Pelodiscus sinensis: one gene and its partner. Each later gene encodes a partner of the first gene's protein in a complex. Links are inferred from orthologs where the notes say so. Each region holds a gene or a part of one and is shown on either strand. Other genes may lie near its edges.

Region 1 (3,895 bases):
CGGACGCCCGGACGCCTGGGTTCTGTGCCTGGCCACCGCCGGACGCCCGGACGCCTGGGTTCTGTGCCTGGCCACAGCCGGACGCCCGGACGCCTGGGTTCTGTGCCTGGCCACAGCCGGACGCCCGGACGCCTGGGTTCAGTGTCTGGCCACAGCCGGACACCCGGACGCCTGGGTTCTGTGCCTGGCCACCGCCGGACACCCGGACGCCTGGGTTCTGTGCCTCGCCACGGCCGGACGCTTGGGTTCTGTGCCTGGCCACCGCCGGACGCTTGGGTTCTGTGCCTGGCCACAGCCGGACGCCCGGACGCCTGGGTTCTGTGCCTGGCCACAGCCGGACGCCCGGACGCCTGGGTTCTGTGCCTGGCCACAGCCGGACGCCCGGACGCCTGGGTTCTGTGTCTGGCCACCGCCGGACGCCCAGACGCCTGGGTTCTGTGCCTGGCCACAGCCGGACGCCCGGACGCCTGGGTTCTGTGTCTGGCCACAGCCGGACGCCCGGACGCCTGGGTTCTGTGCCTGGCCATGGCCGGACGCTTGGGTTCTGTGCCTGGCCACAGCCGGGCGCCCAGACGCCTGGGTTCTGTGCCTGGCCACGGCCGGATGCCCGGACGCCCGGACGCCTGGGTTCTGTGCCTGGCCACGGACAGATGCCCGGACGCCTGGGTTCTCTGCCTGGCCACCGCCGGACGCCCGGACGCCTGGGTTCTGTGCCTGGCCACCGCCGGATACCCGGACGCCTGGGTTCTGTGTCTGGCCACCGCCGGACCCCCGGACGCCTGGGTTCTGTGCCTGGCCACCGCCGGACCCCCGGACGCTTGGGTTCTGTTCCTGGCCAAGGTCGGGAGCCCGGACGCCTGGGTTCTGTTCCTGGCCACCGCCGGACGCCCGGACGCCTGGGTTCTGTGCCTGGCCACGGCCGGATGCCCGGACGCCTGGGTTCTGTGCCTGGCCACCGCCGGACCCCCGGACGCTTGGGTTCTGTTCCTGGCCAAGGTCGGGAGCCCGGACGCCTGGGTTCTGTGCCTGGCCACCCCCGGGCGCCCGGACGCCTGGGTTCTGTGCCTGGCCACAGCCGGACGCCCAGACGCCTGGGTTCTGTGCCTGGCCACGGCCGGGCGCCCGGACGCCTGGGTTCTGTGCCTGGCCAAGGTCGGGCGCCCGGACGCCTGGGTTCTGTGCCTGGCCACCGCTGGACGCCCAGACGCCTGGGTTCTGTGCCTGGCCACAGCCGGACACCTGGGTTCTGTGCCTGGCCACCGCCGGACGCCCGGACGCCTGGGTTCTGTGCCTGGCCACCGCCGGACACCTGGGTTCTGTGCCTGGCCACCGCCGGACGCCTGGGTTCTGTGCCTGGCCACGGCGGGTGCCCCTCCCAGAGTGCTGATCCCTTGGCCTGTGACCCCAGGCCGCCTTCAGCCTGGGGGTGTCGGGCCAGCGCCCTGGGAAGGCGCCGTGTTCGTCTCCCCAGCTGGGCCGGCGCCCCGCGCTCTCGACCCGCATCCCCCGCTCCCAGCGCCGCGTCGGGCCGGGCAGGGGGCGCTGTTCGCTCGCGGATCCGCGGCGGGGCCGGTCCGGCTCAGTCGGTGCCGGCGCTGGAGCCGAGCGGAGGTTCCCAGGGAGGCTCCTCCGGAGCGGGGACCTCGGGGCCGCCCGGGGAGCCGCCCCGAGGCGCCGGCGATGGGCGCGGCCGGAGCCCTGGACCCGCGGCGCGCGAACGAGACGCTGCAGCGGCTGCTGTGCGCGGGGGGGCCCGGCAACGCGTCCGCCTGGAACCGGAGCGTCTGTGACCCGCTGCGGGGCCCGCCCGGGGCCCCGGGCCCCCCAGGTGAGACCCGGCCGCGCCGCGCCGCCATCCGGCCCGAAGGGACCGGCCCGGCCCGGGGCCAGGCTCCCGGGTCCCGCGTTGGGAGCGGGGGGGTAATTCCAGAGCCCCCGCTGCGGCCGGTACCGGGCGCCCCCAGGCCGAGCCCGCAGCTGCCCCCTTGCTCGGCTCACAGCCTGTCCCGCCCCGGCCCATGTGCCATGTGCCCCATACTGCCCAGCGCTGGGGACTCGGCGCTCGCCTACGCCGGGGGGTGCCTGGCCGGGGGTCGCATCCCAGAGGCCCTGTGCCCCGCCCCCCAGGTCTGGGGCGGGCACCCTTGGACGCTGGGCCAGGAGCTGCCTGAGAAATGCACAGGGGGGGGGTTGGGGTATTACCGCTCCCGACCCTCACCCCCGCCCCCCAGACCCTGCCCCCCAGCCCTGCCGGTGCCCCTCACCCCCGCCCCGCAGACCCTGCCCCCCAGCCCTGCCGGTGCCCCTCACCCCCGCCCCGCAGACCCTGCCCCCCAGCCCTGCGGGTGCCCCTCACCCCCGCCCCCCAGACTCTGCCCCCCAGCCCTGCGGGTGCCCCTCACCCCCGCCCCCCAGACTCTGCCCCCAGCCCTGCGGGTGCCCCTCACCCCCGCCCCCCAGACTCTGCCCCCCAGCCCTGCGGGTGCCCCTCACCCCCGCCCCCCAGACTCTGCCCCCAGCCCTGCGGGTGCCCCTCACCCCCGCCCCCCAGACTCTGCCCCCCAGCCCTGCCGGTGCCCCTCACCCCCGCCCCGCAGACCCCGCCCCCCAGCCCTGCCGGTGCCCCTCACCCCCGCCCCGCAGACCCTGCCCCCCAGCCCTGCGGGTGCCCCTCACCCCCGCCCCCCAGACTCTGCCCCCCAGCCCTGCCGGTGCCCCTCACCCCCGCCCCGCAGACCCTGCCCCCCAGCCCTGCGGGTGCCCCTCACCCCCGCCCCCCAGACTCTGCCCCCCAGCCCTGCGGGTGCCCCTCACCCCCGCCCCCCAGACTCTGCCCCCAGCCCTGCGGGTGCCCCTCACCCCCCCCAACAGACTCTGCCCCCCAGCCCTGCCGGTGCCCCTCACCCCCGCCCCGCAGACCCTGCCCCCCAGCCCTGCCGGTGCCCCTCACCCCCGCCCCCCAGACTCTGCCCCCCAGCCCTGCGGGTGCCCCTCACCCCCGCCCCCCAGGCTCTGCCTCCCAGCCCTGCCGGTGCCCCTCACCCCCGCCCCCCAGACCCTGCCCCCCAGCCCTGCGGGTGCCCCTCACTCCCGCCCCCCAGACCCTGCCCCCCAGCCCTGCCGGTGCCCCTCACTCCCGCCCCCCAGCCCCTGCCCCCAGCCCTGCGGGTGCCCCTCACTCCCGCCCCCCAGACCCTGCCCCCAGCCCTGCCGGTGCCCCTCACTCCCGCCCCCCATACCCTGCCCCCCAGCCCTGCCGGTGCCCCTCACTCCCGCCCCCCAGACCCTGCCCCCCAGCCCTGTCGGTGCCCCTCACTCCCGCCCCCCAGACCCTGCCCCCAGCCCTGCCGGTGCCCCTCACTCCCGCCCCCCAGACCCTGCCCCCCAGCCCTGTCGGTGCCCCTCACTCCCGCCCCCCAGACCCTGCCCCCAGCCCTGCCGGTGCCCCTCACTCCCGCCCCCCAGACCCTGCCCCCCAGCCCTGCCGGTGCCTCTCACTCCCGCCCCCCAGCCCCTGCCCCCAGCCCTGCCGGTGCCCCTCACTCCCGCCCCCCAGCCCCTGCCCCCAGCCCTGCCGGTGCCCCTCACTCCCGCCCCCCAGACCCTGCCCCCAGCCCTGCAGGTGCCCCTCACTCCCGCCCCCCAGCCCCTGCCCCCAGCCCTGCCGGTGCCCCTCACTCCCGCCCCGCAGACCCTGCCCCCAGCCCTGCCGGTGCCCCTCACTCCCACCCCCCAGACCCTGCCCCCAGCCCTGCCGGTGCCCCTCACTCCCGCCCCCCAGCCCCTGCCCCCAGCCCTGCCGGTGCCCCTCACTCCCGCCCCGCAGACCCTGCCCCCAGCCCTGTCGGTGCCCCTCACTCCCGCCCCCCAGACCCTGCCCCCAGCCCTGCCGGTG
Region 2 (3,895 bases), on another chromosome or scaffold:
GTTTCTAGTTGTCGGGTTTGTGGGGAAAGTGCGAGTCAGTGGTTCAAAATCCACAAGGCAACTAAGAAACCCCACGTGTGTTAAACCAGTCCTGACAGTCTATGGCTGGGGACTGAGGACATTGTAAGTGCAACCCGGCCTCCCCGCTCGCTGCACCCCAACCCCCCACAGAGAGCCCCCTGCTGCACCCCAACTCCCCACAGAGAACCCCCCGCTCGCTGCACCCCAACCCCCCACAGAGACCCCTGCTGCACCCCAACCCCCCACAGAGAGACCCCTGCTGCACCCCAACCCCCCACAGAGAGACCCCCGCTCGCTGCACCCCAACCCCCTACAGAGACCCCCGCTCGCTGCACCCCAACCCCCTACAGAGACCCCCGCTCGCTGCACCCCAACCCCCCACAGAGAGCCCCCTGCTGCACCCCAACCCCCCACAGAGAACCCCCCGCTCGCTGCACCCCAACCCCCCAGAGAGAGACCCCCGCTCGCTGCACCCCAACCCCCCACAGAGAGCCCCCTGCTGCACCCCAACCCCCCACAGAGAACCCCCCGCTCGCTGCACCCCAACCCCCCACAGAGAACCCCCCGCTCGCTGCACCCCAACCCCCCACAGAGAACCCCCCGCTCGCTGCACCCCAACCCCCCACAGAGAGACCCCCGCTCGCTGCACCCCAACCCCCTACATGGAGTCACTTTGCCCCGCCCCGCCCCGCCCACCAGAAGCGCCCAGACGGCCCCGCCCCGCCCCTGGCCCCGCCCCCGGCTCGGCCCCGCCCCGGCAGGGCTCGGCGCGGGGCGGGCGCGGGCGGGCGGCGGAGCAGAGCTGAGCGGCCCCGCCATGGGCTGCACCGTGAGCGCCGAGGACAAGGCGGCGGCCGAGCGCTCCAAGATGATCGACAAGAACCTGCGCGAGGACGGCGAGAAGGCGGCGCGGGAGGTCAAGCTGCTGCTGCTGGGTGAGCGCCCGCCCGGCCCCCCGCCTGGGGCCCCCCCCGCCCCGGCATCGCCCCCCCGCCCGGTGCCCCCCGCCCCGGCATCGCCCCCCCGCCTGGTGCCCCCCGCCCCGGCATCGCCCCCCCCCCGCCCGGCATCGCCCCCCCGCCTGGTACCCCCCCGCCCCGGCATCGCCCCCCCCGCCTAGTGCCCCCCCGCCCGGCCCCCCCCGCCCCGGCATCGCCCCCCCGCCTGGTGCCCCCCCGCCCGGCCCCCCCCGCCCCGGCATCGCCCCCCCCCGCCTAGTGCCCCCCCCGCCCCGGCATCGCCCCCCCGCCTGGTGCCCCCCCGCCCCGGCATCGCCCCCCCCGCCTAGTGCCCCCCCGCCCCGGCATCGCCCCCCCGCCTGGTACCCCCCCGCCCCGGCATCGCCCCCCCCCGCCTAGTGCCCCCCCGCCCCGGCATCGCCCCCCCGCCTGGTGCCCCCCCGCCCGGCCCCCCCGCCCGGTGCCCCCCGCCCGGCCCCCCCCGCCCCGGCATCGCCCCCCCGCCTGGTACCCCCCCCGCCCGGCCCCCCCCGCCCCGGCATCGCCCCCCCCGCCTAGTGCCCCCCCGCGCGGCCCCCCCCGCCCCGACATCGCCCCCCCGCCTGGTGCCCCCCCGCCCCAGCATCGCTCCCCCCCGCCTAGTGCCCCCCCGCCCGGCCCCCCCCCGCCCCGGCATCGCGCCCCCCCACCCGGCCCCCCTCCGCCCCGGCATCGCCCCCCCGCCTAGTACCCCCCCGCCCGGGCATCGCCCCCCCCGCCTAGTGCCCCCCCGCCCGGCCCCCCCCCCCGCCCCGGCATCACCCCCCCCCGCCTAGTGCCCCCCTGCTGGGCCCCCCCCCGCCCCGGCATCAGCCCCCCGCCTGGTACCCCCCCCGCCCCAGCATCGCCCCCCCCCGCCTGGTACCCCCCCGCCCCAGCATCGCCCCCCCCGCCTGGTGCCCCCTGCCCCGGCATCGCCCCCCCCGCCTAGTGCTCCCCCGCCCGGCCCCCCCGCCCCGGCATCGCCCCCCCGCCTGGTACCCCCCCGCCTAGTGCCCCCCCGCCCGGCCCCCCGCCTGGTACCCCCCCACCCCGGCATCACCCCCCCGCCCCAGCATCGCCCCCCCCACCTGGTGCCCCCCTGTCCCGGCATGGCCCCCCCCACCTGGTACCCCCCCGGCATGGCCCCCCCCGCCTGGTACCCCCCCTCCGGCATCGCCCCTCCCACCTGGTACCCCTCCGGCATCGCCCCTCCCACCTAGTACCCCCCAGCATCGCCCCCCGGCCCGGCATCGCCCCACCCGAACTCCCCCCCCCCGCATCGCCCCCCCCGCCTAGTAACCCCTCCCCCGGCATCAGCCCCTCGCCCCAGCATCGCCCCCCCCGCCTAGTACCCCTCCGGCTTCATCCCCCCCCTCCCGCCCCGGCATCGCCCCTCCCGCCTGCTACCCCCCCAGCCGGTGCCCCCCCTGCCTGATAACCCCTCCTGCCCCGGCATCGCCCCCCGCCCGCCCCCCCCCCCCCCGCCTGGTACCCACCCCGGCACACCCCCGCCTGGTACCCGCCCCGGCCTGGTACCTCCCCCCCACCCCGGCATCGTGACCCCCCCCCGCCCCGGCATTCCCCCGCCTGATAATCCCTCAGCCGGTGCCCCCCCTCCTGGTACCCCACCCGCCTGGTGCCCCCCAATCGGTACCCCCCCCCGTGCCCGCCCCGGCATCTCCTGCTTGGTGCCCCCCCCGTCCTCCCCGGCATCCCCCCGCCCGGTGCCCCTCCTCGCCCGTCCCGGGTGGTACCCCCCACCGCCCCAGAACCCCCTGCCAGATACCCCCCCCCCCCGGTGCCCTCCACCTGGTACCCCCCCCACCCCGGCAGCCCCTGGCCGCCCTGCCTGGTACCCCGCTCCCCAGCATCCGCCCCGCCCAGTACCCCTCCCTCCAGTCCGGTACCCCCCCGCCCCAGCATCCCCCCCTGCCTGGCATCCCCCCTGCCCAGTACCCCTTCTTCCAGTCTGGTACACCCCCTCCCGGCATCCCCCCTGCCCGGTACCCCACCCCGGCATCCCCCCCCCCGCCCAGTACCACCCCCTCCGTTTGCCCTGGCATCCCTTCCCGCCCCTCCTCCAGACCGGTACCCCCCCTCCTTGTCTGCCCCGGCATTCCTCCTCCCCTTTCCCAGTCTGGTACGCTCCCTGCCCCTTCCCCAGTCCGGTACCCCATCTCCCCAGCATCACCCCCCTCCCCGGGTCCAGTACCCCCCCATCTGCCCCTCCCCCAGTCCAGTATCTGCCCCAGCATCCCTTGCCCTGGTATCCCTCCCCAAGTCCGGTAACCACTCCCCCCCCTCCGGTCCAGTATCCCTCCCACGCCTGGCCTGGCATCCCTCTGCCAGGTACGGTATGGCTCTGCCCAGTCCAGTCCGCCTGCCATCCCCGCACCCCGTCCGGTCTGCCCTGCTCCACCATCCCCCACCTGCTCCAGCCTGGTATCCCCACACCGTCTGGTCTGCCATCTCTCTCCAGCCCCCCACCCTGCCACCCCCCTCCCTGCCTGGCCTAGGTGAGCCCTGCACCCTGGCTGCGCCGCCTGGCTTCTAGCACCCTCCAAGATGAACCCCCCAGCCCAGCCTCTCCCGAGTTCCCTGCCTGACTGGGGTACATCCCAGCATCCCCAAGGCTCCCAGAGACCTGCCCCCCAACACTCAAGTGCTCCAGCCCACCCAGTCACCCTGTGAGAGCCTGCACCCCTCAGGACCCCCAAATGCCCCCCTGCACCTGCTCCCCAGGCAGGCCCCCCTAGAGACAGACTGCCCCAGGCACACCCGCCAGATACAGCTCCGGCCTCCACCCCACATGTGGCAGCCCCCACATGCCATGGGCCCCCCAGCTCCTCTTCGATGGAGTCCTGGACCTCAGCCCTGCGTGTACCCCACCCCCC

Evidence for each region.
Region 2: the proteins of CCKBR (region 1) and GNAI2 are in contact, whole or in part, in a cryo-EM structure (PDB 7F8V), measured with the Homo sapiens proteins. The link is inferred for Pelodiscus sinensis from reciprocal best matches to the Homo sapiens genes CCKBR and GNAI2. Residues at the interface, in NP_795344.1 of Homo sapiens: Thr87, Thr89, Arg152, Ala155, Ile156, Pro159, Leu160, Ala162, Arg163, Val164, Thr167, Ser169, Ile241, Gly248, Leu249, Lys328, Val331, Leu335, His394, Arg396; in NP_002061.1 of Homo sapiens: Glu28, Ala31, Arg32, Glu33, Val34, Lys193, Leu195, Thr220, Phe337, Thr341, Asp342, Ile344, Ile345, Asn348, Leu349, Lys350, Asp351, Cys352, Gly353, Leu354, Phe355.

Annotation. Positions count from the first base shown.
Region 1 is NW_027466003.1:150,034-153,928, reverse strand, and holds the start of CCKBR (gastrin/cholecystokinin type B receptor), read left to right. Parts: upstream 1-1,537; 5' UTR 1,538-1,680; coding exon 1,681-1,828; intron 1,829-3,895. UniProt on the Homo sapiens protein: Receptor for gastrin and cholecystokinin. The CCK-B receptors occur throughout the central nervous system where they modulate anxiety, analgesia, arousal, and neuroleptic activity.
Region 2 is NC_134721.1:45,351,090-45,354,984, forward strand, and holds the start of GNAI2 (guanine nucleotide-binding protein G(i) subunit alpha-2), read left to right. Parts: upstream 1-777; 5' UTR 778-838; coding exon 839-956; intron 957-3,895. UniProt on the Homo sapiens protein: Guanine nucleotide-binding proteins (G proteins) are involved as modulators or transducers in various transmembrane signaling systems.